4 linked regions of the Cricetulus griseus genome follow. The protein of the gene in region 4 interacts with the protein of the main gene of each other region in a biochemical or structural test. Links are inferred from orthologs where the notes say so. Each region holds a gene or a part of one and is shown on either strand. Other genes may lie near its edges. The genes, in order: Eps15, Cited2, Kctd15 and Tfap2a.

Evidence for each region.
Region 1: the proteins of Tfap2a (region 4) and Eps15 form a complex in vitro, tested with the Homo sapiens proteins (2 studies listed by BioGRID). The link is inferred for Cricetulus griseus from reciprocal best matches to the Homo sapiens genes TFAP2A and EPS15.
Region 2: the proteins of Tfap2a (region 4) and Cited2 form a complex in vitro, tested with the Homo sapiens proteins (2 studies listed by BioGRID, with this or other methods). The link is inferred for Cricetulus griseus from reciprocal best matches to the Homo sapiens genes TFAP2A and CITED2.
Region 3: the proteins of Tfap2a (region 4) and Kctd15 form a complex in vitro, tested with the Homo sapiens proteins (2 studies listed by BioGRID, with this or other methods). The link is inferred for Cricetulus griseus from reciprocal best matches to the Homo sapiens genes TFAP2A and KCTD15.

What each region holds. Positions count from the first base shown.
Region 1 is NC_048595.1:40,455,094-40,462,373, forward strand, and holds part of Eps15 (epidermal growth factor receptor substrate 15), read right to left. Parts: intron 7,094-7,280; coding exon 6,977-7,093; intron 6,798-6,976; coding exon 6,707-6,797; intron 5,938-6,706; coding exon 5,902-5,937; intron 4,217-5,901; coding exon 4,080-4,216; intron 648-4,079; coding exon 578-647; intron 1-577. UniProt on the Homo sapiens protein: Involved in cell growth regulation. May be involved in the regulation of mitogenic signals and control of cell proliferation. Involved in the internalization of ligand-inducible receptors of the receptor tyrosine kinase (RTK) type, in particular EGFR.
Region 2 is NC_048595.1:271,951,076-271,958,997, forward strand, and holds Cited2 (cbp/p300-interacting transactivator 2), read right to left. Parts: upstream 5,067-7,922; 5' UTR 4,934-5,066; intron 4,467-4,933; 5' UTR 4,459-4,466; coding exon 3,649-4,458; 3' UTR 2,750-3,648; downstream 1-2,749. UniProt on the Homo sapiens protein: Transcriptional coactivator of the p300/CBP-mediated transcription complex. Acts as a bridge, linking TFAP2 transcription factors and the p300/CBP transcriptional coactivator complex in order to stimulate TFAP2-mediated transcriptional activation.
Region 3 is NC_048602.1:3,869,594-3,876,431, reverse strand, and holds part of Kctd15 (BTB/POZ domain-containing protein KCTD15), read right to left. Parts: intron 4,266-6,838; coding exon 4,121-4,265; intron 1,569-4,120; coding exon 1,263-1,568; intron 132-1,262; coding exon 1-131. UniProt on the Homo sapiens protein: During embryonic development, it is involved in neural crest formation. Inhibits AP2 transcriptional activity by interaction with its activation domain.
Region 4 is NC_048596.1:260,400,437-260,407,716, forward strand, and holds part of Tfap2a (transcription factor AP-2-alpha), read right to left. Parts: intron 7,175-7,280; coding exon 7,123-7,174; intron 5,319-7,122; coding exon 5,087-5,318; intron 3,392-5,086; coding exon 3,273-3,391; intron 1,340-3,272; coding exon 1,198-1,339; intron 1-1,197.

The sequences.
Region 1 (7,280 bases), on a different chromosome or scaffold from region 4:
GCCATGTCTAGCTTTTTATGTAAGTGCTGGTGATTCAAACTCAGATCCAAATGCTTGTACAGCAAGTGCTCTTACCCACTGACCCATTATCTTTCCAGCTCAACACTACATTGTATAAAGCAAAAGCAGCAGCTGCTGCTGCTGCTGCTGCTGCTTCTTCTTCTGCTTCTTTTTCTTTTTCTTTTTCCGAGACAGGGTTTCTCTGTGTAGCTTTGGAGACTATCCTGGCACTTGCTCTGGAGACCAGGCTGGCCCCGAACTCACAGAGATCCGCCTGCCTCTGCCTCCTGAGTGCTGGGATTAACGCCCGGCTAAAGCAAAAGCTTCTTATTGGTTTTATTGACACTGAACACAGTACATAGTCTAGAAAAACCTTTAGTGTGAATGACAAACAAGAAAATGAATAAGAAGAGTAAAAAGTGATACACAAATACTTGTTGCTGTTAGTATTGTGCTATAAATGGAAATAATTACACATCCATTTAAAAGTCATAATTAATAGGGCAAACACATTTAGAGAAGAAAATCTTAAAGAAAACGCAATGATTAACATGAATAAAACTGACAAAGTCTTTACCTGAATCACTAGCTGCAACAACAACTGTTCCACCAGGAGCAAATGGGTCATTGTGCTTCCAAATTTCTATCTAAAGAAATGGTACAAATTTATGACCGAGAGGCAACATTTCATAGCTGGAACTTCACTGTTAAACCTAAGAAAAATACTTTACAAAATTATGGATTAGAAAATACAAACATCTGGAACAGAGTTTTCCCTTTCCTTATATGTAGTCACAATGGATGAAAATACTCTTGGATTGCAAAATATTTAAAGTATGAGGCATGTGTATAATTTAACAAGTTAAGTTTCATGTGGACACTCAAGCAGTCATCTCACAGGAAGGTCCCAACACTCAGTAGGCTTCACGTGCCTCTCACAAGCCATAATCCCAAGCCCTCTTCTGTAGAGGTCACCTTTTGGTAGTACTGGGACTGACCCTAGAGCTCACACATGCTAAGTGCTCTGTCACTGAGCTGTATGTATTCCGAAGCCCTGCAGAGGTGACTAGTATCCTGGCTTTGATGGTACTCATTTCTTTTGCTTTATAAGCACATACATTAACTTTAGTGTGAAATTACTTAAAGAGTTGTATAGACAGTACAAAGTTCCCACATGCAATTCTAGCTGCCTCAAATATTAATATTTCATGAAATCATGGCCTATCTACTAAAACTAAGGATTTTTGACACCAGTAAAAAACCCAAGTTACAGTTATAGGCTTTATTTAGACTTCTACAATTCTTTCACTACTGTCCCCTTTTACTCCAAATATTACAATTTGTAACTACTGTTTAATAATAATTCTAGCAGGGCATGGTGTCACAGGCCTTTAATCCCAGCACATAGGAGGCAGAGGCAGAAGGACTTCTGTGAATCCGAGGCCACCCTGCTCTACATAGTGAGCTACAGGACAGCCAGGACTAGATAGAGACACTGTATCATAAAACAATAACAACAACAAAAACAAAACAAAAACCTAGAACTCTGCCCTTCAGAGGAACACACATACACATAAACAACCAAGGAGGGGAGGAAGCAGTAATGCCTTTATGGATGTAGTTTTTGTTCTATTTCTTCATCAAACAGTGCAACCACTCAAACACGAATGAGACAGAGTGTACAGCCGAGAAAAGAACAATGGCTATGCTGGGCACGGCAGTCCATGCCTTTAATCCCAGCACTCAGGAGGCAGAGGTAAACAGATCTCTGTATATTCAAGGTTAGCCTGGTCTACAAACTAAGTTCCAGGCCAGTCAAGGCTGGTACATAGAGAAACCTGTCTCAAACAAAACAGAGTAATGGTCATATATGCCTGACTGGCATAGTGGCACATGCTCGTTTATCCCAGCACCAGGGAGATACAGGCCAGAAGATCTAGAGTTTAAAGCCAGCTTCAACTATACAGTAAGTCCAAGGTCAATCTGGGCTATAGGAGACACTGACTTATAAAAAACAAACAAACATATACCACCAAAAACAACAACCCCCTCACCGCGCCCCCCCCCAAAAAAAACAGTGATCATAAAACTCTCCTTGGGCTATGTTCAATTTGATAATTAGGAAATTTAGCATGCAAAATAATTTTATTTATTTACTTATACAGGTATTCCCAGTGTGAGTGCTAGGAATTGAACCCATGTCCTTAAGAAGAGAGTAAGTTGCTCTAACTGGCCCCCAAAAGTAAGTTTCATAACTCAGCTTCATATGGTAGAATTTTATAGGAGTTAATGTTTTGAAACCCTTCTACAAATCACCTAATTATTATTCAAATTCTCTGGTACATCAGCCATTCACTCCTTACCTGACTGACTTAGTACTTGCATAACACTACTAAGTTTTGTTTCATTTAAATTAATTCCATCAGAGAGCAGGAGGCAGTCTTGAAGAATTGGAAAAGACTTTTGGGGAGAGAGTCTTATTTTCAAGTAAAATACGTACTATAGGCCAGTCAGTGGTGGTGCACGAATTTAATCCCAGCATTCAGGAGGCAGAGGCAGGGGTATCTCTGTGAGTTCAAGGCCAGCCTGTTCTACAGAGAGTTCAGGACAGCCACAGCTACACAGAGAAACTCTGTCTCAGAAAAAATAGTACTATTAATCTAACCTCTGTTATCCTCCCTTATATTACATTATTTCTCTTTTCATATTTCTTATCTCACATTGCCCAGGATGGCCTCAAACTAACAGCTGAAGTTGACCTTGAACTCCCAAACCTCTTACCCCACCTCCTAAGTTTTGGAATTACAGGCCTGTACCACCATATCTGGCTCACAATTCTTTTAAGGAAGCAATTATTCTTTTAAGGAGGTAATCTTAACCCAAGAGTTATACACAACAAAATAGTGTGAAATGCCTGCCAATTAATTATGCTTTTCTAGGTCCAGTTTACTTACAGCAATGAGATTGCTGCCTCAGAAAGTCTCAAAATAAAAAAACAATTAAAATATTTCATTCTGTTACTCTATTTTGAGTATTTCTAATTACTCAAATTCAATGGGAATTTTTAAAAATTTACTTTTATTTTATGTGCTGCATGTATGTGCATCTACTGAGTGTGTGTTTGTGCGTGTGTGCATGCTGGCCTGGTGCTTGCGGGAGTCCAGAGAGGGAGTTACAGACAACTGTGAGCTGTTGGAGGATGTGGGGAGCTGAACTGAAGTCTGTTACAGGCTGAGCATTTCCTCCGCCCCTATATAATTTTTTTTTTAAGTTTTCAAACACAAATACCTGGGACATATTAAAGAAACATGATTTTTTGAGACAGGGTTTCTCTGTGTAGCTCTGGCTTTCTCTTTGTAGATCAGGCTGGCCTCAAACTCTGAGATTTGCCTGCCTCTGCCTCCCCAGTGTTGGGATTAAAGATATGAGCCGCTACCACCACCCAGCCATAAATGCCTGGAGAGTTGGCTCAGCCATTAAAGGTTAGGCTCAAAACCAAAACTGTCTGTATTTTTAAAGCAGAGGTATCAACATTTGCCTTGTAAAGTGAAATTGAAGATTAGAGACAATGACTATATAGCACAGAGGCTTAGATCATAGTCTGTGGCTACTAAACAGAGGTTGTGGACATGTACTCAAGAAAGCTTGACATTCAATGGGAATTTATACTTTTCCAAGATTAACGTTCTAGGTATAACTATAAAATATCATGGATTATTTTATTTTTCTAAAATATTAATGCTTTCCCATTAAGTAATTTCTATTCTTTCAATACTATAACAGATATTTATAAAAAGTTTTACTTAAGACAGGCTTTTGAATTTCCAGTCACTTACACTTAATATCACCAACGGGATAAGGATGGACTTCATTTTGGGACACTGTAAATCATCCTCGTGTCCAGTGGGTGTTCAAGTATGAAACATTACATTAGACAAAAACTTGGATAGGTGGGAGCCAGACAAATTTCATATGGACCATTAAAAACAATCAAAAGGCAGATTCTATAGCTATATACTCAAGAAATTTCCTTAGGACACTTGTTTATCCGTCTGAACAATTTTTAGTTGTGTACTTACCGATGTATTGCTGCTATTGCTGGATGCACTGAAAGGGTCAGTGCTTGAAGTGGTAAAAGGGTCAGTAGAAGACTGCTTAAAGAAGCAGTCAGATGCAAATGGATCTGAACCTTTGAAAGGATCACCACCAAAAGGATCTAAGGAGAAAAAGAACAAATGTAAAAAGCTGAAAACCCACTGTAATTCCTTATTGTCTGTAAGCATATCATGACATTTCAATTAAAACACTTTAAGCATTCCCTATGAGCCACTATGACGTAGGGCTGGGTCTATCCACCATTCTTGCTCAAAAAGCCAAAGCCATTTCTTTTCTCCTCCTCCTCCTCCTCTTCCTCCTCCTCCTCCTCCTCTTCCTTCTTCTTCTTCTTCTTCTTCTTCTTCCTTCTTCCTTCTTCTTTTTTTTTGTTTTTTGTTTTTTCAAGACAGGGTTTCTCTGTGGCTTTGGAGGCTGTCCTGGAACTAGCTCTTGTAGACCAGGCTGTCTCGAACTCACAGAGATCCACCTGCCTCTGCCTCCCGAGTGCTGGGATTAAAGGCGTGCGCCACCAACGCCCGGCTTCTTTTCACTTCTTTTTTGTCCCTTTTGGGTGCTGGCCGGAGTCTAAGAATGCATCTCCTGGGACTTGGAGCTCTTTTACTCTTTGTAAAGCTCCTGCCCCCACAGTGTAGCTGCTTGTCTACCACATGGTTGACCTCCATGCCAGCTTAATGACAACACTGCTTTTCCCTCTCTTCTCCATTCCCTTCCTCTAAGTAACTGTTGAGACTTAAAACTGTCCTCTTTGATTAGACTCTGCTTGATTTTCAAAAACTAAAAAGTCACTTGAACTTCTGTGGAACCCCAAGTTCCTTTTTTATTCCAGATTCTATTGTACTTTTGAGGAAACAGAGCTTTTCAGGTACTAAACTTTTTGGTTAGCATGTAATTTTAAGGGATCCAATTTTAAGTCCTCTTGTCCAATGCTTACAAAAGAAACAGAAATTTAAATACATTTCTTTCCTGAGCTCAAGGCTAATACCTTGAGACACATTTGGGAAGCAAAACTAAATAGGAAACAAGATTTTCTTTGTTCTAGTGAAAAATCTCAGAAAAACAATTATCTCAAATTTAGTATCCTTCAATTCCCTCTATTTACATGAATAGTCTAAAATCGTAGAGTAGTAAAATAAAATTATATTCTAGCCCTGCAGTCTTGTAGTAGTGTACAACTCATACTGATCTAGCTTTTAGCTAATGTGGAGAAATCAGAACCTATTCCTTTTAGAATAAAGTTTTAATTATGTGTATGTGTACAAGTGCAGTGCTTGCAGAGATCACAGGTACTGGCTCCTCTAAGCTAGTTACAGGCTGTTGTGAGCCACCCACATGGTGTTGGTAACCAAGCTCTGGCCCTCTGCAAGAACAGTACACAGTCCAAACCACTGAGCACCTTGCCAACCCTACCAACAATGTTACTTTTAGGCAACATTTTGATTATTACTTTTTTAAAAAGCAAGGCTTGGGTTGGAGATATAGCAGAGTACTTGCCTAGCACGCACAAAGCCCCAGGTTCAATACACACACACACACACACACACACACACACACACACACACACACACACACACACTTTCTTGAGCAAATTCACAAGGCTCTAATCACTCTCTAAAAATGCCAGAATATTTTAGTATCTTACCTTGGCTTTAGAGCAGTTTTAAAACTAAAAAGCAGTTCCTCTCCTAGAACTACCCAAGTTGTGTGTTCTCATTTCTAAATACAATATAAAGTTATAATTAAGAAGAATAGAATTAAAGTTAAGAAGAAACTACAAAATATACTGACCAATTTTTCCAAAAGGATCATCCTTGAAAGGATCACCTGTGACAAAAGAAGTAAACAAAAATTAAAATGCAGTCAGTCAGTGGTGCCACACACCTTTAATCCTAGCACTTGGGAGGTAAAGGCAGGCAGATCTCTATGAGTGCTGGGATTAAAGGCGTGAGCCAACACCACCGCCCGGCTTTTACTGTCATTTTAGTTTAGTTTTGTTTTTAAGATAATAGTCTCACTGTGTAGCCCTGGCTATCTATGTAGACTAGACTGGCTGAACTCAAGAGACCCATCTATGTCTGACTCTTGAGTACTAGGACTAAAGGTTTGTGTCACTGCACCGTGAGCTTCTAATGAATCAAAATTACAGTGTTGGTGCGCTCTCTCTCTCTCCTTTCCCTTCCCTTCCCTTCCCTTCCTTTCTTTTTTTAAGTTTCCTGAGGCAGTTTTGTTCTGTAGCTCAGGTTAAACTCAAATTTGCAAAGTACTGGGATTACAGCAGTGTGATCCCATGATTGACCTGCTGTTGGCATTTCAGTAATTATTAGCTAAATAACGTGAGTCATGAGTGTGTAATCTCTACCACTGGACTATAATATATCTTTCCTGTGGAGTCTACTCTGAGGAAGAAACATTCTCTTAGTCAGAGAATTGTACAGTATAATGCAGAGGTTAAATATTAGCAAATAAAAAGAATAGAAACCCATATTTTCAGCTTTTCTTATGTTGTAAAAAATGTTTTCAAAACTGAAGCCTCCATGTTTATATAGTTTATATATCAGAAAGTGTTATACACTTACAAAAGAAAGATACTTACTGCCAACAAAAGGATCGGACTGGAAAAAATCCAAGTTCGCATCTGCAACTGGATCTGTCAGTGAACTTGATTCTACATTAAATGGATCTTCCTAGAAATAATTTTTAATGAAAACAGATATTTTAGTAACCAAACATTTAAAAGATAATACTTCAATGACCCATGTTCAGATCATATACAAACTTTGAAAAAAATCAGTAAATATTCTTGCAGCTACAAAGAACATTTAAGACAAGTGACAAGAACAACTGAATGCATAATTATCTTCACCTCTTTTGAATGCTTGTCATCATCAAATCTGGGACTAACTTTTTCATTACCAGCTGCAGTCACAACTTCGTTTTCATCAGTCACATCAGAAGCTGCTATTTCAGGACTACTTCTCACCTACCAAAAATACATACGTGAGTATGAAGGATTAAAAATCTTTTGTCTCAGGCCGGGCGTTGGTGGCGCATGCCTTTAATCCCAGCACTTGGGAGGCAGAGGCAGGCGGATCTCTGTGAATTCGAGGCCAGCCTGGTCTCTAGAGCGAATGCCAGGATAGGCTCAAAAGCTACACAGAGAAACCCTC
Region 2 (7,922 bases), on a different chromosome or scaffold from region 4:
CTGGCCAGTGTATATTTCCAAATAGGAAGCCAATCTCAAATTATGCACCTTTAATCATAGGTTAAAGTCTTTGGCAGGTAAGATACTCTTATTTTTAGAAAGAGTGCTTAATCTCCAGTCTTTGGTGACTGAAAATAAAATAGTTGCACAAACATAGGGTATTCCCTCAAGGAGGGAAAAAAAGCCGAGTCTTCAGCAACGGGAAAAAAAAAAACAAAAAACAACCTCTTTAAAGCTTTCTTTTAACCTTCTGAATAAATTCCACAAGGGGGCGAAAACACCTAATGGTAGGGAGCTGCAAAGTTTGTATTTGAAAGCTAGCCACCCATAATAGATTAGTGGATTAATATTTTGCTCTAAAGGATCTGACCTTTAATGTTGACATCAATTTATAGCCATCCCAGGCGTTTACAGTAGTAAAAGTCACAGAGACCGTAAACTTCACAATAGATGTCAGCCTTCTGGAGCTAGTGTTCTAGCCTAGCACCCCATAAACAGTAGTGATTAGGTAACTGTTCTTCAAAGACCTATCCATAGCTCTAACATCTTTATCAGCCATAAAGATGCCGCCACCAGGATTTTATCAAGCACCCGCAGACCCACACGATTATATACATGCAGACATATTTTTCTGCTATGTATCAATGGGGCTGTGCTTATCACTCATCTCGTCTTGAAAACCAAGCATGGAGTGTCTATTTGTGTGCAAAGCCTAAAGAACAGAGGCCCTCTTGTACCGCATTAGAACTTTTTGACAAACAGCCAAGGTACAGAGGTCAAATTTCCCCATATGCTCTAAGCAACATAGTAGGAAGCAAGACCACAGAAGGTTTTTGCAAATGTCTGCCAGGAGCCCGGTGATCTAGGTCACTGTACAGGTTTCATTAATCGGGTTGTTTAAACAAGGGCTTATTTTTCTCTGCCTAAAGCGACCTGCAGATATCACGTAGGATCTGCTCAATTGTTGATCAAGAGAGTTTTAATGAAATAGAGATGGCGGGGAGAGCATTTGTATTTGTACTGAGGACAAATTGTGCTTTTAGCCAGCTCCTCTGTTTGAGTCCTCTGTTCTGGCAGGGATGGGTCCAAGTTCTAATAATAGTTACTTGAGCTCTGCGTCTCTACATACGTGTCCGGCGTTGGAGCAGCGGGCGGGGCGGGGCGAGGGGGGGGCGGGGGGGAAATCTAGTGACAGAGCAGGTGTTATGGCTTCTTCCCTGGCAGAATAAACGGCGAAGGGTGATGGCATGACAGTTCTTTGCTTTACACACACACAGACACACATACACAACACGCACACATACACAAACAACACACACACACACACACACACACACGTGAAAAAGAACCAGAATTGCTGTATTAATATGTATGTAAACAATTGTTTTCCACTTGAGTCTTCGGGGAGTGGGGGTGGGGTGGTCTTACTGTGAAAATGCCAAGCTAGGAAGATTTACTGCCTGATTGAAGATGCAGTATTGGCACGTGTTAGCTGAAGAAAAACTTCAGCCTCAACTATTGGAGAAAGGGGATTGTTTGAAAATTGGGGTCAAAGCGCTCTGGATGATTTCATAGAACATGAATTTTAGTAGGGCGATGTCAATTATAGAGGCCTAACAAACCCAGTGCAGTGTGCATCTTAATTTTACCTGTCCTGCTTGGAAATGAAAGTTACAGAGTGGAGGCAGTCTGAGTCCTACACAGCCAGCCTGTGTGCCAGATTCCAGGACAGCACTTGGGCAAATCCTATGAAGCATGGGGTTTAAGGTGAGAGCCAAACACGGAAAGGAATCGAAGCATGGCTTATTTGTAGGGTTTCTTCACTCTGCATCTCCTTGTTCTCCATAGGTTAAGTATGAGTCTGTTATTTTTTTCTTGGCTGTGGTTATGCTATTCTTAAAAGCATGAAAACATGACAGGGGACAACATCTAAATCCTTCCCCTTCCACCTGGGATGTTTTGACACTTGAAGGCTGTTTCTCCTCCGATTGATTATGTAAGGCGGTCCTCGACACCCATCGGATATGGAGATGGTCTGCATCCTGGTTGTCAGAAATGGTTTTAAAGCAAGGTGCCTGGCACCTAATGCATGGGACAGCAGCAGCTCAGAATTCTGGAAAGTGGGGCATGCTTGCGAAGGCACGTTATGGAGGTTGTAATTGGCCTTTGAATCAACCACTGGGTGAAATTTAAATATTAGAGGAAGCCTCAAGGTGGCTTCCAGCCTCCTTCCACTCAGAACTGTAACCCAGTCAGAAGCTATTTGAGATTATCTTGGAAAATGTGTCTCTCCTTAGCACCTTTGCTCAGAAATAAAATTCATCATTAGAAATAAAGGTAGATTTATATTTAATACCACCCATCAATCACTCGGTATATCACTCTAGTCCACTCCTTTTAAGCCATTGAATCAGAAACACTTGACCCCCCCTCTCTCCCACCCAGTGAGAAAGATAGGTTTAATATTGCAAGCCTTCCCAGCAAAGGTTCACTGTAACTGGATGCAGTTAAAAAACAACAACAAAGCACATTGACAACTTTTCTGCCTTTGATTAAACCACACCAAGAGGCAAGCTACAAAGGTAACAATGCAGCATTATGCCAATTATCTTAAATCCTGCTCTCCCTTAAGCTCACCGTGACCTGTTTTAGTGTCCTGTAACTTACCCTTTGGAAAGCTCTCAATCAATTAACAGTCCAACTTAAAGGAACCCACCCTGCCCCCAATGACTGACTAACAGAAAACAAGTTATTTCTTAACTTTTTATTGACATTGGCAAATTAAAATAGAATAAATTAACAAGTATTTTTTCAAAAAAATGTTTTGTACAAAAATACTGTCAAAATTTCCTAAAAAGCTTTCAACACAGTAGTATCTTTTCATGTACTGAATATAACTATTAGCACAGTGTCAAAAATGTTGAAGACAGAAACAAAATAAAAATCTGTGAAATGTTTGCCACTGACGACATTCCACACCCTATTATTGTCTGTACATATGGGGGAGGGGAGACAGCCAACTTTAAAGTGAACAGTATGACTTCCTGATCCAGAACGGTTTGGCCCTCATCTGTTTAATCTTCCAGTTTAGCATATTTGAAAACTTAGTCTGTACTCAAATGCATAGTTAAAAAAAATGAAGCGAGATGGCAGTTTGTGCAGTAATATCTGCCCTTCAGAGTTCATGCAGCCAACAAATGCAATTTTTCCTTTCAATCATAAATCTGAATGCAGCGCAGTCATTTGAAACCATCTACAAAATCCACAAGATTAAGCAGTTTGCCAAGATTAATATCTAACAGTTGAGCACTGGAGAAAGTGAGGAAATTAGGAGTAAAAACAACAAAAAAAGACCAAGTTAGCTAGATATTTTAACTACATAAGGGAGGTGAATGTCAAGGCTACAAAAACAAGAACAGGAAAAAAGTGGCAGCAATCTTTTTTTTTTTTTAAACCAATTTGTACAAGTTTATAGTTTACTTTGTTTCCAGGTTCTCAAACCTTTCAGGATCTGAAAAGTGAGATACTGCGTCTAAGGGAATGTTTTTTTTTTTTTGTTTTGTTTTTGTTTTTTTAATTCACACCGAAGAAGTTGGGGTGGGGGTGGGGAGGGTGATTTCTTTCGCCCGCCCGCCGAGGTTAACCGAGTCAACAGCTGACTCTGCTGGGCTGCTGTTTGCACACGAAGTCCGTCATAAAATCAAACTCGTTTTGGCCCAGCCAGAGTTCGGGCAGCTCCTTGATGCGGTCCAAACCCATTTCTATCACTAAGGACATAAGCACTTCCTCATCGATGAAATCAGTGTCTATGACATTGGGCGGCAGCATTGCCGCGGGGACGTGAGCCACCGAGGCCGGCATGGTGTTGCCACCGCCGCTGCCGCCCGCGCCACTGCCGCCAGCGCCGCCCGAGGTGCTGCCAGAGCCGCCGGGGGTGCCGCTGCCGCCCGCGCCGCCAGGGGTGCTGCTGCCGCCGCTGTGCTTGGGGTTGCAATCTCGGAAGTGCTGGTTTGTCCCGTTCATCTGGTGGCCTGCAGCGGGGTGCAAATCCGGCATGTAGTGGTTGTGGGGGTAGGGGTGATGGTTGAAATACTGGTTGTTGAGCTTCTGCAGCTGCATGCTGGCCGGCAGGGAGCCTCCCTGGCTGGCCACCGGGGGGCCCATGAACTGGGAGTTGTTAAACCTGGCAGCGGGGGCCAGAGCGCTTGGGGGGTGTCCCCCGTTCACAGTCCCCGGCCCCATGGCGTGCCTGATGCCGCTCGTGGCATTCATGTTGCCCGCGCCGTAGTGTATGTGCTCGCCCATGAGGGCGTTGAAGGCGTGCTGAGGCTGCTGCTGCTGGTGGTGATGCGGGCTCGGGAACTGCCCCATGCCCATGCGGTGGGCAGGGTGGTGGTGCAGCCCGTTGGTGCCGTCGGGGAAGCGCCCGTGGTTCATGGCCATCATATGGTCTGCCATTTCCAGTCCTGAAAGCGAAACGAGTAGACGCTGAGACCCGCGCCACACGTGTCGCCCACCGGAGCGCACCCCACTTCTGTCGCCCCAGTATCCGCGCGCACGTCAAGCGGCAGACCACCACCCCCGAGAGGGAACCCACCGGCAGTCCGTGCACCCGAGCTCGCCACCTCAGCGGACCTGCCGCCCGCCGGACCCGCACAGCCTGGCGCTGAGCGATCGGCCCCTTCCCCAGCGATCCGGGAGGGGGGGGGCGACCGGAGCCCACACCCCCTTAGGTTCCCCGAAGTGGCCTAATAAAGGAAGTGCCCCGGAGCTCGGCCACGAACTTCAGGCATTCAATCAGCCCTCCTCACCCTGTGGTTGCACATCCTGTTGTTATTCCCCAGCTCCGCCTCACGCTCGTCCCCCGGGCCAGCCCTGCCCTCGGAGGACGAGGCTGGCAGCAACCCTGGCCAGCTTCGCCCGCCGCGCTCACCTTCCGTCTTTGCGATTTCTGCTCCGAACACCGAAGGCGGGCTCGTCGGGTCCAGGACCGGCTCAGCAACACATAGAGCGGCAGCCGAGGGGCTGTGGTGCGCTCGCTTGTGCGAGGTTGGCGCCGAGGTCTTGCAGCAGCCGCTGGGGCAGATTGCGAGCCGTTCCCTTTTCTTTTCCCTCCGCTGCCCTCACCGCTCCGCAGGACCGCCCGGCAGCTGCCAACAATGAGCTGTGTTTCTTAGGGCTTTGGCCACAGTTAATATAAGGATCTCTGGAAGGGCGGAGCGAGAGCCTCCCGTCGGCAAGCAAGAAGATGCGGATTCCGGAACTTGAGCGCCCTGGATCGGGTCCCCGAGCCGCGTCCGCGAGTCCGCGCCGCACGTGCGCAGAGGCTGCGCGCCCCGGCGCCGCCCTGAAGTTCCCGGGACTGTGGGCGTCTTTCTGACCCCCAAATGCGAGGTTGTGCCTGCCACCTCCGAGGCAAGGAGGTAATCCTCCAAGCCACCCAGTGCAAGGAAGCACTTACAGGAGAGAAACAAGGAGCACTCTCCGCCTTCCTCTGGCCAGATCTCCCCACCCCCCAGCTCGCTCACCCGGTTCACCTAGTGATCTGCCCTGCGCTCTACAGGAAAATGGGGGTTCGCTCGGCTCCCAGCCCTGCAGTTTTCTTGAGTGCAGAAGCCTCTCAGCCTGCGAATAATGATTTTGCTTTCCCGAGTTGGGGTTTTAAAGCCCCAGACCGACCCTGCCCTGTCCTCTGAGCGCGGTTTCCTGAGCCGCGCCTTTGTGTTTTTACACGGGCATCATGTAAACCTAACCGAGATATTTTCTGCGTGTGCCTGCGTTTCCCCGCCTCCACTCTTTTCAAGGACAGGGGCTGGGGGTGGGGAGCGGCAGCGGCTGCAGGTGGACCGACCGAGCGCGCTCACAGGCCGGGTCGGCTCAGCTCCCGCGTTCGGGGATCCGCTCCACTCTTTCTGGTCTGCTCCACGTTCCCGGAGTACGTGTGCTTCTGCTAAGTTTGCGTTTGCAGCTCTTGGTAGCTTTGGCATCCGAGCTGAGGCGTCCCTGCTCTGTAAACAAACTCAGCGATCCTAGTCCCCAGATCCACCTTTTTGCACATACACTGTTACTTGCTTCTGCTGTTGCCCTTGATCCAGGAGGTGGGGGTGTGTGCAAACTTGCACAGCCTCCCTCCGGGCTCTGCCTGACGGTTTGGGGTTGATTTAGAAGCAAATGGGTTTGTAATTAAGAAATTCGAGGGCTGAGTAAGGCTGCTGCTGCAGCAAAAGGAAAACAGATAGATAGCTTGGTAATCGCTTTGTAAATAAAGTCGTTTTGGAGGTGGGCACGTAGCGGCACGTCCTGTATGGCACGGTGCGCGCATACACTGCTAAGACTCTTCCTTTTCAGTGAAATTGTTCAGTGGAGCAATAGGCGGTGATAATAATAACCTTGCCTGCAGAACGAAGCACAACGAGCCCGATCGCCCATTTGGCTCATTGACTTGCAAATAAAACCCCTAACATTGGTCGGGTCCACTATCCAGTCGGAGCTCTGTTGCTTGGTTAGTTGTTTCCCCAATACCGGGATGAAGCTGCATGGAGCGTGTATTTCTCATTAAGTGGTGAGATCGAGTTTAGCGCTCCGAATAAGGACTTCTGTGTACAGTTGTTTCTTCATAACTTGATGTCCATGGAAGACTTCCTGCTGTAAAGAGCCAGCACCCCTCCCCCTTCCCGTTTCTTTTTCTCCCTTCTAGCTCCAGACTTTTTTTTTTTTAAGGCTGTATTTCTTGAGAACTGGAAATTCTGATACATTGCCTGCCTCATTCAGTAAATCTTTTTTTTTTTTTTTTTGCTTTACTTCTCTGTCTTCCTCTAGTTAGTCCTATTCAAATACCCCAAAACAACAAAACCCTCTGTCTTCCTCTCTACCCTTTTTCCAGGCTGTCCAGCATTTATAACCCTGTATGCAAATGATTGTGAAACCTCAAGAATGTTTACTTTTTGGAGAAGTGAGCAAGAGATATGGCTTTCAGTTATAACAATTCCCCTATTTTGTTCACCTCCTAATTTCTCCTATAGGTCACGAACATGAAGTTGAACAATCAAGAGGTTTGGAGATCAGAAGGGACACTTCCTATCAAAAAAATTTAAAAAAAAACTGCCAAACCAAGATTATTTTTTGAATAGATTGTTTACTTCCCTTCCTTATTGTGCAGTGTCTTGCGACATAAGGAACAGCTTTTGAATGTCTAATCTAAATTCCTCTTGCAGCCATTAAGGGAAGGTACCCCACCATCCAGCGCCAGCGTTTCTACAGACTGTTAGGCAATCCCCAGAAAGGTCACTTGCCCATCCCCCACCACTAAAAGGAAAAATAAATACTTCTGGGTCCAGCTGGATGGGATGCAAGATGCATTGCTCATTTAGTCTCCCAATGCATGTTCTTCAGGTGCCAGGCACTTCTTAGTACCCTAAGATATAAACAAGACAGGAACTCACGGTTACAAAGAGACCTCTGATAATCAGGCATTGGATACACGCCCCACCCCCTCCCCACCTCCGACCCTCCAGCTCCCCCGCAGCACTGTCACCCCAGAGCACACAAGAGGGATACCATATCCTGTCTCAGAGACATTGGGAGGCTTCCTGGTGGACATGGTAAACTAGTTAAGGCTTCGGGATGACTAAAAGTTTGACCACAGGGACAATGAGTTACTGCAAAGATGAGAGAAACAAACTGGAGAGAACGCGTTGCAGTTGGATCCTAAGGGCCAGTGATTCCAGGCTGAGAATTCTGATTGGGTCCGAAAGACATGGAGGCGTGGGAGCCAGCTTATCAGTTTATGAGGTAGTATGGTGGAGGATGGTTTGAGAAATGAAGACTGACTACAGGGCGTCCAGGTAGGGGGAAATTATTGGGAACACAGGAAGTTCCCTGGGGTTTCTCTTGGAAGCCTGGGGAGGCGTGGCCCGTTTCTG
Region 3 (6,838 bases), on a different chromosome or scaffold from region 4:
ACGGCAGTCGGGGTGGGTTGCGGTCGCCGCTCCTCCCGGCAAAGCACGTACTCGCTGAACTGGGAGGAGTCCACGCCACCCCCGCAGGAGGCAGCCACGCTGAACCCCCTCTGAAACAGCCTTTCTAGGACCTGCAGGGGAAGAAAAAGGGGTCAGCAGTGCCCAGCTGCTAGAGTTTGCCTGGCCTGGTAGGCAGCTGGGTGCCAGGCAAAGCAAGCTACCTTCTGATGGGTTTTAGACCCAGCTGCATCACCAGCTGGATCCTACCCTAGGCGGGAAAGGTGCAGTCAAGCCTCAACTTATCCAAGCAGGGTGGGCCTCTGCTATCCCACCCAGGCTGCTCCCTCCAACCCTCACGGGTGCATAGCCAGGAACTAGGGAAGCAAGAGGGGCTTTTGGGGTCCCTTCCCTGTTATCTAGGGTGTGCCCTACCCCAGCCCCCCCCCACATGGCCCCAGGCACCCCCTCTCTGAATCTCCTGCTCCAATAATGGAAAGCCCCTGCCCCCTAGCCTCAGGGCAGCCACCTGCTTCCTGGAGCTGAGTCCCAGATGGTCTGAGGCCTGAGGGCTCATCAGCTCAAAGAGTTCTAGGTGAAGGGAAAGAGGGGAGTCCTTTTGGTGTGTGAGTGAGTCTTGGAGGCCTACAAAGGCCTCCTGGGTTGTGTCTCTGGGAAGGTGGGGGCTGGCCCTACATCTGTGTCCTGCAAAGAGTAATCTCTTACTCTGAGCCTGCAGGAAGTGGGGGGGCTTTCCCCAAAGGGTCCCTTTTGTCCTAACCCCAAAATATGAGTGTCTCTGAGTCAGGAAAAAGCTTCCAGAAACAGGGAGCCGAGGCAGGAGGAGGCGAAGTTTGCATCCGGCCTGGGTTACACAGAAGATCCTGTCTCAGAAGGAAAGAAGTGCTCTAGGCAGCTGCTGCCTGCCAGTGGCCCCAGGGCCAGCCTCATGGGAAGGCTCCCTGCCTTTCCTGGTGCCTGGGTTTAATTTGAATCCAAAGTCAGCCTCTGCATGTTAAATGAAGCATGTTCCGTTGAAAATACTCTGGGCCTTTTTTTTTTTTTTTTTTTTTTATAGAACATCCTTTTAGGGGAAAAAGAAAAGTACAGATCAATTTTTTTAAGTCCATCCCCCAGGCACCATCATTTAATTATGAGCAAGGCATAAATTATGCATCCGGACATTGTTGCCTTTCCTGTATGGGTTTCGTCCACTCCATTCCGGGACTGACTCCCTCACCTCTCTCTGCATCCATGGCCCTCACCTGCACAGAGTTGAGTCGACAGTAGCCATTGAGGGGGAAACGGATGACGTGTGTGGGGTCCTGGTTCCAGCCAGCGTTGACGGAGTTGCACATGACATCACCCGTCTCAGGGAAGACCTCCTCAATGAGGGCTTTCTCGCCACTGAGTGCAATGCGTTCACCCAGGTCGGGGGTGACTCGGACCACCAGGCAGTCACAGGCCCGGCTACGCCGTCGCTGCTCCTGTTCCTGCTGCCAGCGCTCCAGCTCGCGAACCATGGGCTGCAGCTGGTAGTACCTCGCCTCCTCATACAGTAGGTTGAAGTCCTGTGGACAAACACATAGCGTCAGGGAAGCACCAGGCAGTCCCATCTGGGTTGCTCATCCTTTCCCTCTTCACAGACAGCTTAACTCCCAGATACAATGAGGACTAGGACGGTCATTTCCATCGTAGAGGTGAGCAAAGAAAGATTTCCAGTGCGTGTGCCCCCAACATACAGAATCTAAAGCAGGCTGAGTGCATCAGATGAGACTCTTCCTGGACCTTCAACCGGACGGCAAACAGAAGTGTCATAGAAAGCGCTGGAAGCTGCTAGTGGCGCACGCCTTTAGTCCCAGCACTGGGGAGGCAGAGGCAGGGGGATCTCTGTGAGTTAAGGCCAGCCTGGTCTACAGAGCGAATTCCAGGACAGCCAGGGCCATACAAAAAAACCCTGTCTAGGAAGAAGGAAGGAAGGAAGGAAGGAAGGAAGGAAGGAAAGAAGGAAGGAAGGAAGAGAAAGACCAAGCTAGAAGCTGAAACTATAGGGAGATAGGAGCTGGGTACATGCTGCCCTCCTTCACACTGTGCCCTTGCCCAGATCCCAAGCAGACCTTTAGGGAATGCATTTCACCCATCAGCCACAAGGGCTACAAACCCTCCTGAGCTGGCTTGCCCTCTTTACAATGAATATAAACACTGGACCCTGAGTGAAGATTAAAGGACAGGAGACCTGCCAAGCCTCTGTCCCTGCCAAAGCAGGTAGAGAATATGACAAGGTCCCTGGGAATGACGGTCCTGGGGCAAGGTCCTCACCAAACAGCCCATCCACAAAAACTGTCCCCTCAGACCCTGACACTAGCCGTGTGTGTGTGTGCTCACCAATTCTTGAGGGGCCTATGTCCATGACTCACGCCACTCAGTGCATAGGTGGTGACTGACGTCCCAGGGGAAAAGCAAGGGAGATCAACTCTCACAGCCCAGCCTGCACACCCAGCGTGTTTCTGTTGTTGGCCCCAGAGGCCCAGAATCCCATCATCAAGGCCCACCACGAGCTGTGACCCTGCCTGCTCTTCATAAAAGGTCTTTTCTCCCAGCTCTCACCAGCCCTGAGAGTTTTATATGACATCTTTATGCCAACTCTTTCCCCAAGCCTAGAATGTTCCAGGCACAGACTTTGACTCACTGACTCAGGGCTGAAGCTGCGAGCTGGACGCACCCTCCAGAGCCTCCTGACCCAATAACCCACACTCAAAGCCTTTGTACCTCTCTCCCCCAATGCCACTCTCTCCCTACTCCCAGCAAACCCAGAAACACAGTGACATAGCTAGCCTGTCCCCACTCCTTCTCCCTGCATCTCACAGCAGAGCCAGCGTGGTCCTCCCAGTTTGCAAACCTGATCACTCTGCCCCACTATCCTGCTATATGCTGAGCCACCCAGCAAGATGCAGGTCTCACCAGCAGCCTCCCCGTCTCCCCTCCCTTCCCGGATCCCAAAGCCCCAGATCTCCTCTCCATGTCATTAGGGTATCCACAATTGTCTGCTCCATTCTTCCTTCACCATCTAGCTCAACACTTTCCATCACACCCACCACCCAGGCCAGGTTTCCCCATCTTTTGATTAGGACTCTATTTTGTCTGTTTCTGCTTCTTTGTTTTGAGACACGTAGCCCTGGCTGGCCTGGAACTCCCTCTATAGACCAGGCTGGCCCCACCAAACTCACAAAGACTAGCCATAGCCAACATTTACCTCCCAAGTGTTGGGATTAAAGGTGTACGGCATCATTGTTGCTGACTTTTTCTAGACAGTGGCTTACTCTGTAGGCCAGATTAGCCAGAACACTCAGCAATCCCCCTGCCTTAATCTTGGAAGGCCTGGGACAAAGTGTGTATCTGGTGGGATCCATCACACCAGGCATGCACAATTTTCTGAAGCATTGGGCCCCATGCAATTGAGACTAAACCTCTATTTTCTAGGCTGGAAGAGGCAGAGCCCATGGCTTCCAGTGTAAGCTCTATTTTCAGACCGAATTCAGCTGTTGCCATTTAGTAACTGGGCTGGATGAAAAAGGGCCCCGGGGCTGCTGGTGCAGTAGTCGCTGCAGGAAGCCTCAAAGCAAGGAAGCACACAGACAGACAGACAGACAGACAGACACATTTGCCAGCAAGAGCCAGGCCTGAGTTATCTTCCCCTCATGATTTCCAGCACCTGAGAGGGGCTCAGCTCTGAGGCAGGGCCATAGAGAACCAGATCAGCTACCCAAGACAAGCTTATCCAGAGTCCTGGGAGTGATATTTGTTTAAACCCCCTAGCTCCCAGGGGTTTCCCCCCAGCTACAAACTGCAACAACGGACAGACACACAGACCTCTAACTCCTTAAACACAACTAACATCAACCTGGGGTAAGAGCCAAAGCTTAATTGTTGTTACACCCCGATAAATACTCTCAAGATGTGAGAAAGCAAAATGAGTTTGGAAAAACTGATTTAGCCCTCGGCTTCATTGGTTAGCTTTTGGTGGTCGCCATGACAACTGTGGGTCCGTTTGTTAAGTCGCAGCGTCCCCTGTGTAATGCCACGAGACACAGGCAGGGCAGGGGGTGCCGCTGGCTCGACTCACCTTGAAGTCATCTGGAAGCAGCAGTTTTGACGTCCGCAGGAAACTGAGTATATAGCGGAAAATCTCTCCGTCCCGGTCGATAAAATAATGTTGCTTCAGACTGTCTAGGACAATGGGCTCCGTGCCGTTGAAGAGGCGGCTTATTCTGGGAGAGACGGGCAAGATGGAATATTGGCAGGGTAGGGTTGAGGTCACCTGCCCCACCCCCACTCCTTGGAACTCACTCAGCTAGAGGGGCAAGAGGTCACCCTTAGGGACCTCTAAGGTAACTTGGAGACCTTGCCAATCCTGACAATTGTCAGCAAACACATGTGAGGCAGACAGGCTGCCTTCACATACACAGGACGCTAGGGCAGCCACGTCATCGCTCCAACCACCTTCAAGAGCTATAGCCAGCCAAGGGACATACCCAACTATGTCTGATGGCCCACTGACACATGGTCTGGAAAACCACATAAGCCAGCTGGTCCAAGCTGAACACACACCCACACACACCTACAGCAGAAAGACATGCCCAGAAAACATGTGTCGGCCACCCAGAGCTCTGGCTCCCAGTCAGCCACCTGCTAAATGTATGTCAACCAGCTAAGTCTCCAGAGACACACACCTTCTCACCCAAGCCACAACACCAACATCAAATAACAGCGCATTGCGTGCAGCCAATAGGTCCGGGATCACAGTCTCAGGCAGTGACACTCACCAGCTAACACAAGCAATCGACTCAGAGACATGACCCCATAACTGCCTCACTTAAGGAGCCACGGGGGAGAGACAGGCAAGGGAGAGCCTGCATTTGCATGCAAATCCCAGAGCACAGTGATCATGTGGTCCAAGACCTGGACAGGTACTCATGTATACCACACATGTGTGCATATCGGGTGAGAGAGGCTGGGACTGGGAACGACTCTAGTGCCTAGAAAGACAATGCTACAGACACAGGAGACCTTGGGGGAGCCCCGATGCCTCTCACTGTCCATTTCATGGCAGAGAAACCTGGCCTTGGGGCCTAGGCTACTGCCCCCTGCCCCCAAGCACACAATGGCGGGGTCTGGCTTGGCTAACTGCTCTGCAGATCTCAAACGCTAAGCTAGATAATCAGGAGCCCCAAAGTGGGTTGGGGGCAGCTAAGATCTTCACTTGGGAGCAGAAGGGAGGTGAGCAGTTCTTCAGTGGCTGGTTGACTTCGAGCCTGGGAGAACTGTTCCTAAGAAAGCCTTGGAGGCCGAGAGGTAGTGGCAAGTGCCTTTAATCCCAGCACCTGGGAGGCAGACACAGGCAGATCTCTGTGAGTTCCAGGCCAGCCTGGTCTACAAAGCCAGTTCCAGGACAGCCAGAGCAGTTACACAGAGAAACCCTGTCTTGAAAAACCAAAACAAACAAACAAAACGAAATGAAACAAAACAAGCCTCGGAGAACCAGGGAATTAGGGGGTAAGGGGACTTGTTGACTTGGCCTACACCAACCACCCTGCCCCCTCCAAGAATCCTCTCTCCTTGTCCTGTTCCTACAGCTACACACTCATTGCTCAGCCCAACTCAGCCACGCCCAGTCACAGCCACGTGCACCCAGAGCATGCCAGTTGCCAGAGCTGAGAAGTTCAGAGCCCCCAATGCCCTTCTTAGGTATTCCCAATCCACACAGTCCCATGTTCCGGTGGCCATGTAATCACTTGTTCTCATTCTGGGGACAGACGTGGCCCAGCCTGTCCCTAGGGGGTCAGTATAAAGGACAAGGTTGCCTGGCGGGTGGGAGTGAGCAGGTCAGAACCTGTGGGTTAGAGGCGTGGAGGCCTGAGCCTGAAGAACCAGAGGTACAACTGACAAACATAAATCCCGAGGGCTCCAGAGGCTGCTGGTGACAATGTCCTCCCCAGGACACTGGGAAGGGCAGTGCCAAGGGCCCACACCCAGGCCACTGTGCACTGACTCTCTCTCTCTCTCTCTCTCTCTCTCTCTCTCTCTCTCTCTCTCTCTCTCTGTCTCTGTCTCTCTGTCTGTCTCTGTCTCTCTCTCCCCCTCCCCCTGGGGGGGGCCCTCTGCCTGGTGACCCTGATGCAAACCCTTGTGAGTGCCGGGCAGCTCGTTTGAGAGCTGGCCCTGCAACACTTCAACATTTTTAGCTGCGGGGGCACCCAGAATCCCTGGACCCAGATGCGGCTAAGCCATGATATCAAACTGCCAGGGCAAACAGCTGAGGGTCCAAACCAGGTTCTGACAAGGAAGAGGTCAGAGGCAGCATACAGGTGAGTCAGCAAATTCACACCTCAGCCTTCCTGGGAACTCTTTCCACCCTCCCCCAGCCAAGAGTGCAAGCGTTCTGTTCTGTGTAGCAAGCAGAATGCTGGGTCTGGCTGGGTTCCAAGCTGCTCTGATGTTGGAGTTGGCAGAGGCTGCCTCGCGTCTGTCCTGTCAGTCTAGAGGATTCCCAGTCCACCCACAGCCCAAGGCTGGCAGGGTTCTAGGCTGTCTACTGAGCCAAGACAAGCAGGTTCTAGATCTTTCCATGGTTTGGTGTCTGTTCTGGGTCTAATGGCAGCAGGGCACCTCCTCTTAGGACAGAAGCCTTTCATGGCCCCAGCAACCAAGTCTTACAGTGACAGTGGGTGTGGGGCAGGCTGGAGGGACATTTTGGACAGCCACCACAAGGAAACTCTTAGCATTTCACAGCATCTCATGAGCAAGCTCCTGAGTTCTGTTTGGTGGCTTCACGTGCCTCTGT
Region 4 (7,280 bases):
GCTGGGGAGAGAGCTCACTGGAAAAGGGGCTTGACCACACAGATTAGGACTTGAGTTCGGATTCCCAAAACTCATGTAAAAGCCTAACTTGAAGGCTTGTGTCTCCAACGCCAGTGCTGGGTGACAGGCAGGGGTAATCCAGTGGTTTGCTGGACAGCCAATCTAGTCCAAATGGTGAGCTCTGGGGTCAGTGACAGACTGTTTCAAAGAAAACTGTGGAGAGTCACAGAGAAAGGAAACCCAGGAAGTCGATCTGGCCCTGGAAGCCAGCTGTAGCAGGGACCTTCCTGAGATGGCTACAGTGGGTGTGTGTGTGTATGTGTGTAAAGGTGAGGAAGCAGTGTTATCAGGCCAGAAACTGTCCCACCCGAGGCCTCAGTTTCTTAATTCTCTACAGCAGTGCCCTCCAGTGACACCAGCTTTTGGTAATTAGGGACTTTAAAACAATCCTTTTAAATTTCCAGAAAACATATCAAAACAGTCATTTTCTTTTCAATCTGGAGAAGTCTATTCAGCCCAGGCACCTATGGGAATATAAACTTGGGCCACCTTGAAACCCATTTGACAGCTTGCTTGTAGGCTAAAACTTAGAGTATGACTGTGACTCTGTTTGTGTGTCTCTGTCTCTTTCTCTATATGTGTGTGTGTGTGTGTGTGTGTGTGTGTGTGTGTGTGTGTGTGAGAGAGAGAGAGAGAGAGAGAGAGAGAGACTTTTGAGGCTAGAAGAGAATGAAATGGAATCCAGGATTAGAGGTAAAAGTAGGGCAGTTTCTGGATGGCACATTTTGCAGGTCCCAGCTTAATCTTTGCCCTTGGAGAACATACTGATGAGAGAAAATGTGGACCTAGGCAAGCCTGATTGGTACCTTTGAGGACTTGGACTCTGGTTTCTATGAAACAACACTGTCACAAATCCACACCCTTTCAGTGCAATCCCTGCTGCCCCCCCACACCCCCACTAATTTCAAAGTTAGTGAATAAGAAAGAGACTGAAGAGAGGGAGAACACAGGAAGCACACTGACACTCCCACGCTGTTTCCTCTTTGATACAGTCTGTGCTAATTTATGTTTGTGCCCTGACTTCAGTATTCACAGCAAAGCTGATCAATAGGAATGAAAAAGAGAAGAGAGCACAAGATAGTTTTGTTTTGTTTTTGACAGTGAACAGCCTAGACCCCGCAGAGGTAAATGCCTTACTTTGTAGCCAGGAGCATGTTTTTTCTTGTCACTTGCTCATTGGGATCGGAATGTTGTCGGTTGAGAAATTCCGCTACTGCTTTGGCAGGAAATTCAGTTTCGCACACGTACCCAAAGTCCCTGGCTAGGTGGACGGCTTCTCCTGGCAAGAGGTAGGAGGAGGGAAGTGAGGGCCAGAGAAAGAAGAAATTGGGAATCAAAGTCTCCTCCCTACACCCAACTCCCTTAGTTTTCTTCACTAAAAGTTGGAAGGAACAGAAACCCCTTGTTTTCTTACTTTAGAGATTCCTTCTCTGTGAGACCTGGAGACCTTACTCATCAGTAAAAGTGCCAAGTTGGCTTACAAGGCCAAAATGCTTTGAAAATGTTAATCCCACCCATCGCCCCATACCCATCCCTGAGGGATGTTTCCCCAACTTCTGTTTGAAAATGGCTCTGCCGTCTCAACCTCACACCTATCAACACACTCGTCAATGATGTTCCATAATTACTCCTTGAGCTTTTCAGCAAGGGAACAACTGAGAGTTTACATTTTAACTTGATCACATATAATTATCTGTTCATCCAAGCCGATTAACCAAGAGGATTTGAGGGTCACTCCACTGAGTCTGTCTGTGTTGTTGATTTTCGAATCTTTGGTTTTAATTTCCTGAACCAGTTGGTTTTTACTGCAGGGCTTCCTGCCATTAGCTCCAGCTCCGGAAGAACGCATGCGCCAATTAGAGCATCAAAGGCCTCTCGGCAGAGCTTGTTTCCATAAAATGGAGCGGATCACAAACAATAACAGTTCTCCAGAAACTGCCTCCCCACTGCAGTCTCAACCCCCAGACCCAGACCAATGCTCACGCGCCATCCTCGGCTGCCACCACCATTTTCATGACATATAATTTGGGAGGTAGGATATGAAAAGTGGTTTTCTACATACTACCATTATTTTAATATAATGTGGCTGTATTTGAATTTCTGGCCTTGAACAATGGCTGGGGTTTTCTTGCTTTTTTTTTTTTTTTTAAGTTTCATCATCTTCATCTTCAACACCGTTTAACACATGAAAGTCATAGAATTCCTCCTCAAAAACATTTGTTTCAGATGCTTTCTAGAAACTTCCAAAAAACTTGGATCCAATGGCACTATCTCCTCCAACACACTATGCAAATAAGATAAAATTGCCTCATTGAAATATAAATGCTAGTTTTAAATCTGCCTAGGAATAAATTACTATTTTTTAAATTTTCCTTTTAACAAGAGATATAACAAGCCACAAAGAAAAGCACAAGAGAACTATGCATTCACCCAACCCTTAATCCCAACCTTAAACCAACTGACTATCAGAAAAAGTTAGGAATCTAGGAGGCAGGAACATGAACGGATTCTGGTGACAGTTTTTGTTTAACTGGACAGGGATGGCTTTTTGTCTTGAGGAATTTGGCAGGGTGTGTGTGCTCAAAAATCTGCCATAAGAAACTCTTTTACAATGTGTCTGCTTCTTTTTCTCTTTCTGTATCTGACAATCCAAATTCTAAAATTGCTCACTTTCTTTCAATCGTGGAGAGAACGAAACACAATGAAGCAGGAGATGAGGAAGTACATGTTTAGAAAACAACTACTACAAGGGCTTTAACCCTGAGCTTTCAGGACAGTCTTAAATCAGGATGCAGGTCAAAGATTCCCAAATTAATTCAGGAAGTAATGGTCACGCATTTCTCAAACGCAGATGTCAGAATAACTTAAGTGATTTACTGCTGAGTTCTTTAGAGGAGACAGGAACTTGGAGAATGTGTGGCTCTTAAATTTGTGCATTGTTTAGGTCAGATTTGTGCTGAGGACAAGGTAATTTTATGGTAGACAGGAAGAACATATAGGCATGAGTGTATATAGTCTCTGGAGTTTTGTTTGGCTTTGTTACTTGGTTTTCCTTGACATCCCAGAATTCTGTTCACTTCCAGTTATAGCTATATTCCATGGAAAGGTGAAACCACCAAAGTACACAAAACACACTCAAACATCTGGCCACTAAATATTATCCATTTCCCCAGACAACTGTTCCCTTCTACTTAGCAAGTGGATTTGCTTACCTTCCACTAATGATGTAAGCAGGGTGACGTTGGCAGCTTTGCGTCTCCCTGCTGGCAGATTTAATCCTATTTTGTCCAGTTTTTCTCTTAAAGATCGTCCTCCATTCTTAGACTTCGCTCTGTTTCATAAAGATATAGAAAATATTGACTTGCTCTGTGTCACATTAAAGTAATTTTGAACACTTTCTAAAATGTGTTCTTGAAAACTGAGAAGCCTAAGGAACTGTACAGAAAGGTTGTAGGAGATAAAGGCTAGTTCAGCTGTAAAGCACACACTGTGTTCAGTTATTGTTGCGACTATTGTGGCAGGTTGGGAGCTTTTCTGTTTCTAGTTCTCTGAAGAAGAGCTGCAAACACATAGTTCTGAACTCTGGAGCTGGAGGTATTCTTGAGGTCAGCTGATTACTGTGTATTTTCCCTGTTGCTACAATAACACAAACCCCAGTGGGGTCTTTAAATTGTCTTCACAAGATCTGCTGTTAGGTCGTTCCCAGTAACCAAAGTTATCATCACGCTCACATTTCATGCTCTCGCTTTGGTCCCAATGGGAAACGCATCTCGACAACTGTTTACATGCCACGTCAGGAGCATAACTGGAAATGTCAAAAGGATGATGGCTGATATCAGCCTTCAAAAATTTCCCTGATTTCAGAGACAATGGAGGCGCTTCTAAATAGATGTCTAAATAGACTCCCATAATCAGAAAGTGGTTAAGATAAATTGTTTAAATAAAACAGCAAATTAATTAATTTCAGATTTTATTCCCTACTCAAGTGGCTCTTTAATTGCGTGGATTAGATTATACTCCCTTAGGTAAGCAGTCTCCGATACTGGTGATGGGGGAAGGGGAGGAAAAAGCAGAGGGCAGAGAAAGATCTCTGGCAGTAAAAGAACTAAGGAAAAACCAAGTGACTGAACGATGATGACAGTCGCTGGTATTAATTCTGCAAAACCCTCTTAGAGGATGTAGGTGAGCTGTACCCACCAAGGCCCAACTCCGGGTCATTAAGATTCAGGAATAAAGTTAGACATGGAGAGGAGAGTAAGAGACATACTATTTGACCAAATGTAACACTAGGCCTACAACTCACACCATCGGGTAGATTCCTAAGATGGAGGGCATACCGCTGGGTCCCAGGAAAGACATTCCCTGGCCCTTGTGAATCTCACTCCACCTCAGAGAGGCGAGAAACCCGTGTTAACGGATGTGGTCCCTGAGAGCGGCTACATATAATGAACGGAAACTGGAAACGTGCCCTGTCACACATCACAGTAAATCAGAACCGTCGAAAGCTAGCGCAGAGGCTGGGGGTAGGGGGAGCATTCTGGCGGGAGGTGCCAGCAACCAGGGTTGGGGAGGCATGCGGCATGCAAAAGTCTCGCTTTACTTGAAAACCAGTCTCCACTCAAGGGCGACAGGTTCCCATCAGAGACCCCACGCTTCGGTAAGGCAAAGCGAGGAGCCCACAAGTTTTCCTGAGCTTGCAACCTGTGTGCAACCAGGGAAAAGGCAGCTGCACGGCGCCCCATGGCTGCCAAGGCCGGGACTGAGCCCGCAGCAGTGAGCGCTGCGCCTGCGTGCAGAAGAAAGCCGAGGCCCCGCAATGCGCAGGCGCGCCGCCTCACCCCACCCTCCACCCCGCCTCCGGCCCCTCCCACCGGGCGCCACTCGCTCCCCTCCCCGCCCTTTTCCCTGGCAGCCGGCGGCGTGCGGCGCCGCTACTGCCCCGGCGCAGGCGCACTGAGGCCGCGTCCGCGGGCGGGGCGGGGCGGGGTGGAATGGGCGGGGCGGAATGGGCGGGGCCGGGCCTCACCTCCGCAGCACTCCGCCCAACAGCGACGCGTTGAGACACTCCGGCGGTGAGAGGCGCCGCTGTACTTCCGCCACCGTGACCTTGTACTTCGAGGTGGAGCTGAGGAGCGACAGGCGACCCGGAACTGAACAGAAGACTTCGTTGGGGTTCACCACGCCACCGAAGAGGTTGTCCTTGTTGATAGGGATGGCGGAGACGGCGTTGCTGTTGGACTTGGACAGGGACACAGGGCCTGCGGAGACAGAGGAGGGCGCGTGTTGGGGGGCGGGCCCACCGCGCTGGCATCCCGCAGCGGCTTCCTGCCATCACCCTTGCTGCAAGCTGTCTAGAGATGGCTGATGCTGTCGCTACCCCCCGCCCCGGGCTCGCGCAGGGCGCCGGCGAGGTGCAGGAGATCGCGTTTGGGGAGACAGCGGGTGGGTTTCATGTGCAAACCCCGGGCAGGGTTGGTGTAGCCAGGGTTTAGCGGACGAAGGACTCACAGCGGAAAGAAATGGCTGTTAAAGCCGGTGGATACTCTGGGTGGCTGCAGCAGCCAGTAAATGAACATTTCCATTTAGCCAGCAAGTGGTGCATTCTGTTGTCACACACTGTACTAACCTCCTTTCATCGATAGACCCTGATGTTTCATTTTGAAAGACGCTCGGGTTTTGGAAATCATCCCAAGCCCATTTTTTGAACAGGACTCAAGAAAGGGCCTACAGCTGAACACTAGGAATGAGTCCTTTTGTTGAGCAAATACTAATTGAACCCGGTCTGCCTAAGGCCCTTCAAAAGAGTCCGGGGCGGGGGGGAGGTAGAATATACAATCAGTTAAAACCATAAGCCGTCATTGTTGGACCAACCATTGTTAGAAAACAAATTCAAGACCAGGCAAACGAGGGGTCCATTTCTTAACACCAATTTAATTCTGATGCGTCCGCAACCACTTAAGTACAATGCATTTATATCTTAAAATCCCACATAGAGACATGTAATAATAATATGTACACAGTCTCATCACAGCATGTTTTTTTTTTTTTTAATGGGGATATTCTAGTCGTATGGGGAGATGAGGGGCTCTAGGTTTTGGATAGATCACTTGTGACATTAATAGCTCTGGGGAGGCTAATAGAGACAATAGGAGTTAAACGAACTCTTGAGAGATTACTAATAAAAGAGCCAATTATCATGTCGACTTGGAAAGAGCACCTCTTAAGATTTATCCCTTGCACATCTAATTTGACATGACAAAGACTTCACAGATGCAAAAATGAAACTTTAAACTAGCTTACACTATACTGATTGGGGTTAGAAATGAGAACAGTTTTATATAGCATGGTCCTCTGGTGGAATCTAGAACCCTGAGATTTTTGCCATCATAACAACAACAACAACAAAATACTGCTATTGCATTTAATACATGAAACTTTATTCCTACCCACTAAGCACAATGCAGATGATAAATTCATTCAAATCCTGTAATACCTTTTTAACAATTTCTTTTCTAAATACTTAGGTCAATAGTGGCATCTTCAAGATGCTAATTTTAACCAAAAGCTAAATTTTTGTTAACCTAATTCACCAAGTTTTAAAGCCTTGAGACTCAATCAAGAAACTAGAAACTAAATCAGAGAACATGAAGTTTTCTTCCCTAATAGAGGGCTTTAAAAAAAAAATCTGTCTTTTCATTGATATTAAATTATTTGTATTATTTTAGCTTGATACACTTTTTAACCCTCATGGCCTTTAACTCCACACAATGAATTAGCTATGAAACCACTTCCAAATCAGGTCAATATTGCACATTTCATTTTGTCCAAATATGAATAACTGAACTCAGTGCTGAAATCATGATCTGAACAAAGCTAGCCTGTTGCCATTACCAAGATCCTGAAAGCCGGTTGTTTAAGCACTGTTCTTCTATGCCTATCTATTTGCTAATTCTGAGCCTTTAGGAAATCCTATTTGAAAAAAATAAATACAGTCCTGCAAGTTCTTTTAAATAGCACTCTGCCTGTAAGGACATGCTTGGAATGCAGAAGGAAATGGCTTACCTTTCTTAATTACAGTTTGATCTGGGATGTTAATACCCGGGTCTTCTACATGCTGCAACAAAAGGATACACATGAATGTAAGTGTATAATCAAAACAAAAGGAAATGAATATTCCCTGCAAGGTGGGGGAGGGGAAGGTGGAGGATGGCAGTCCCCCC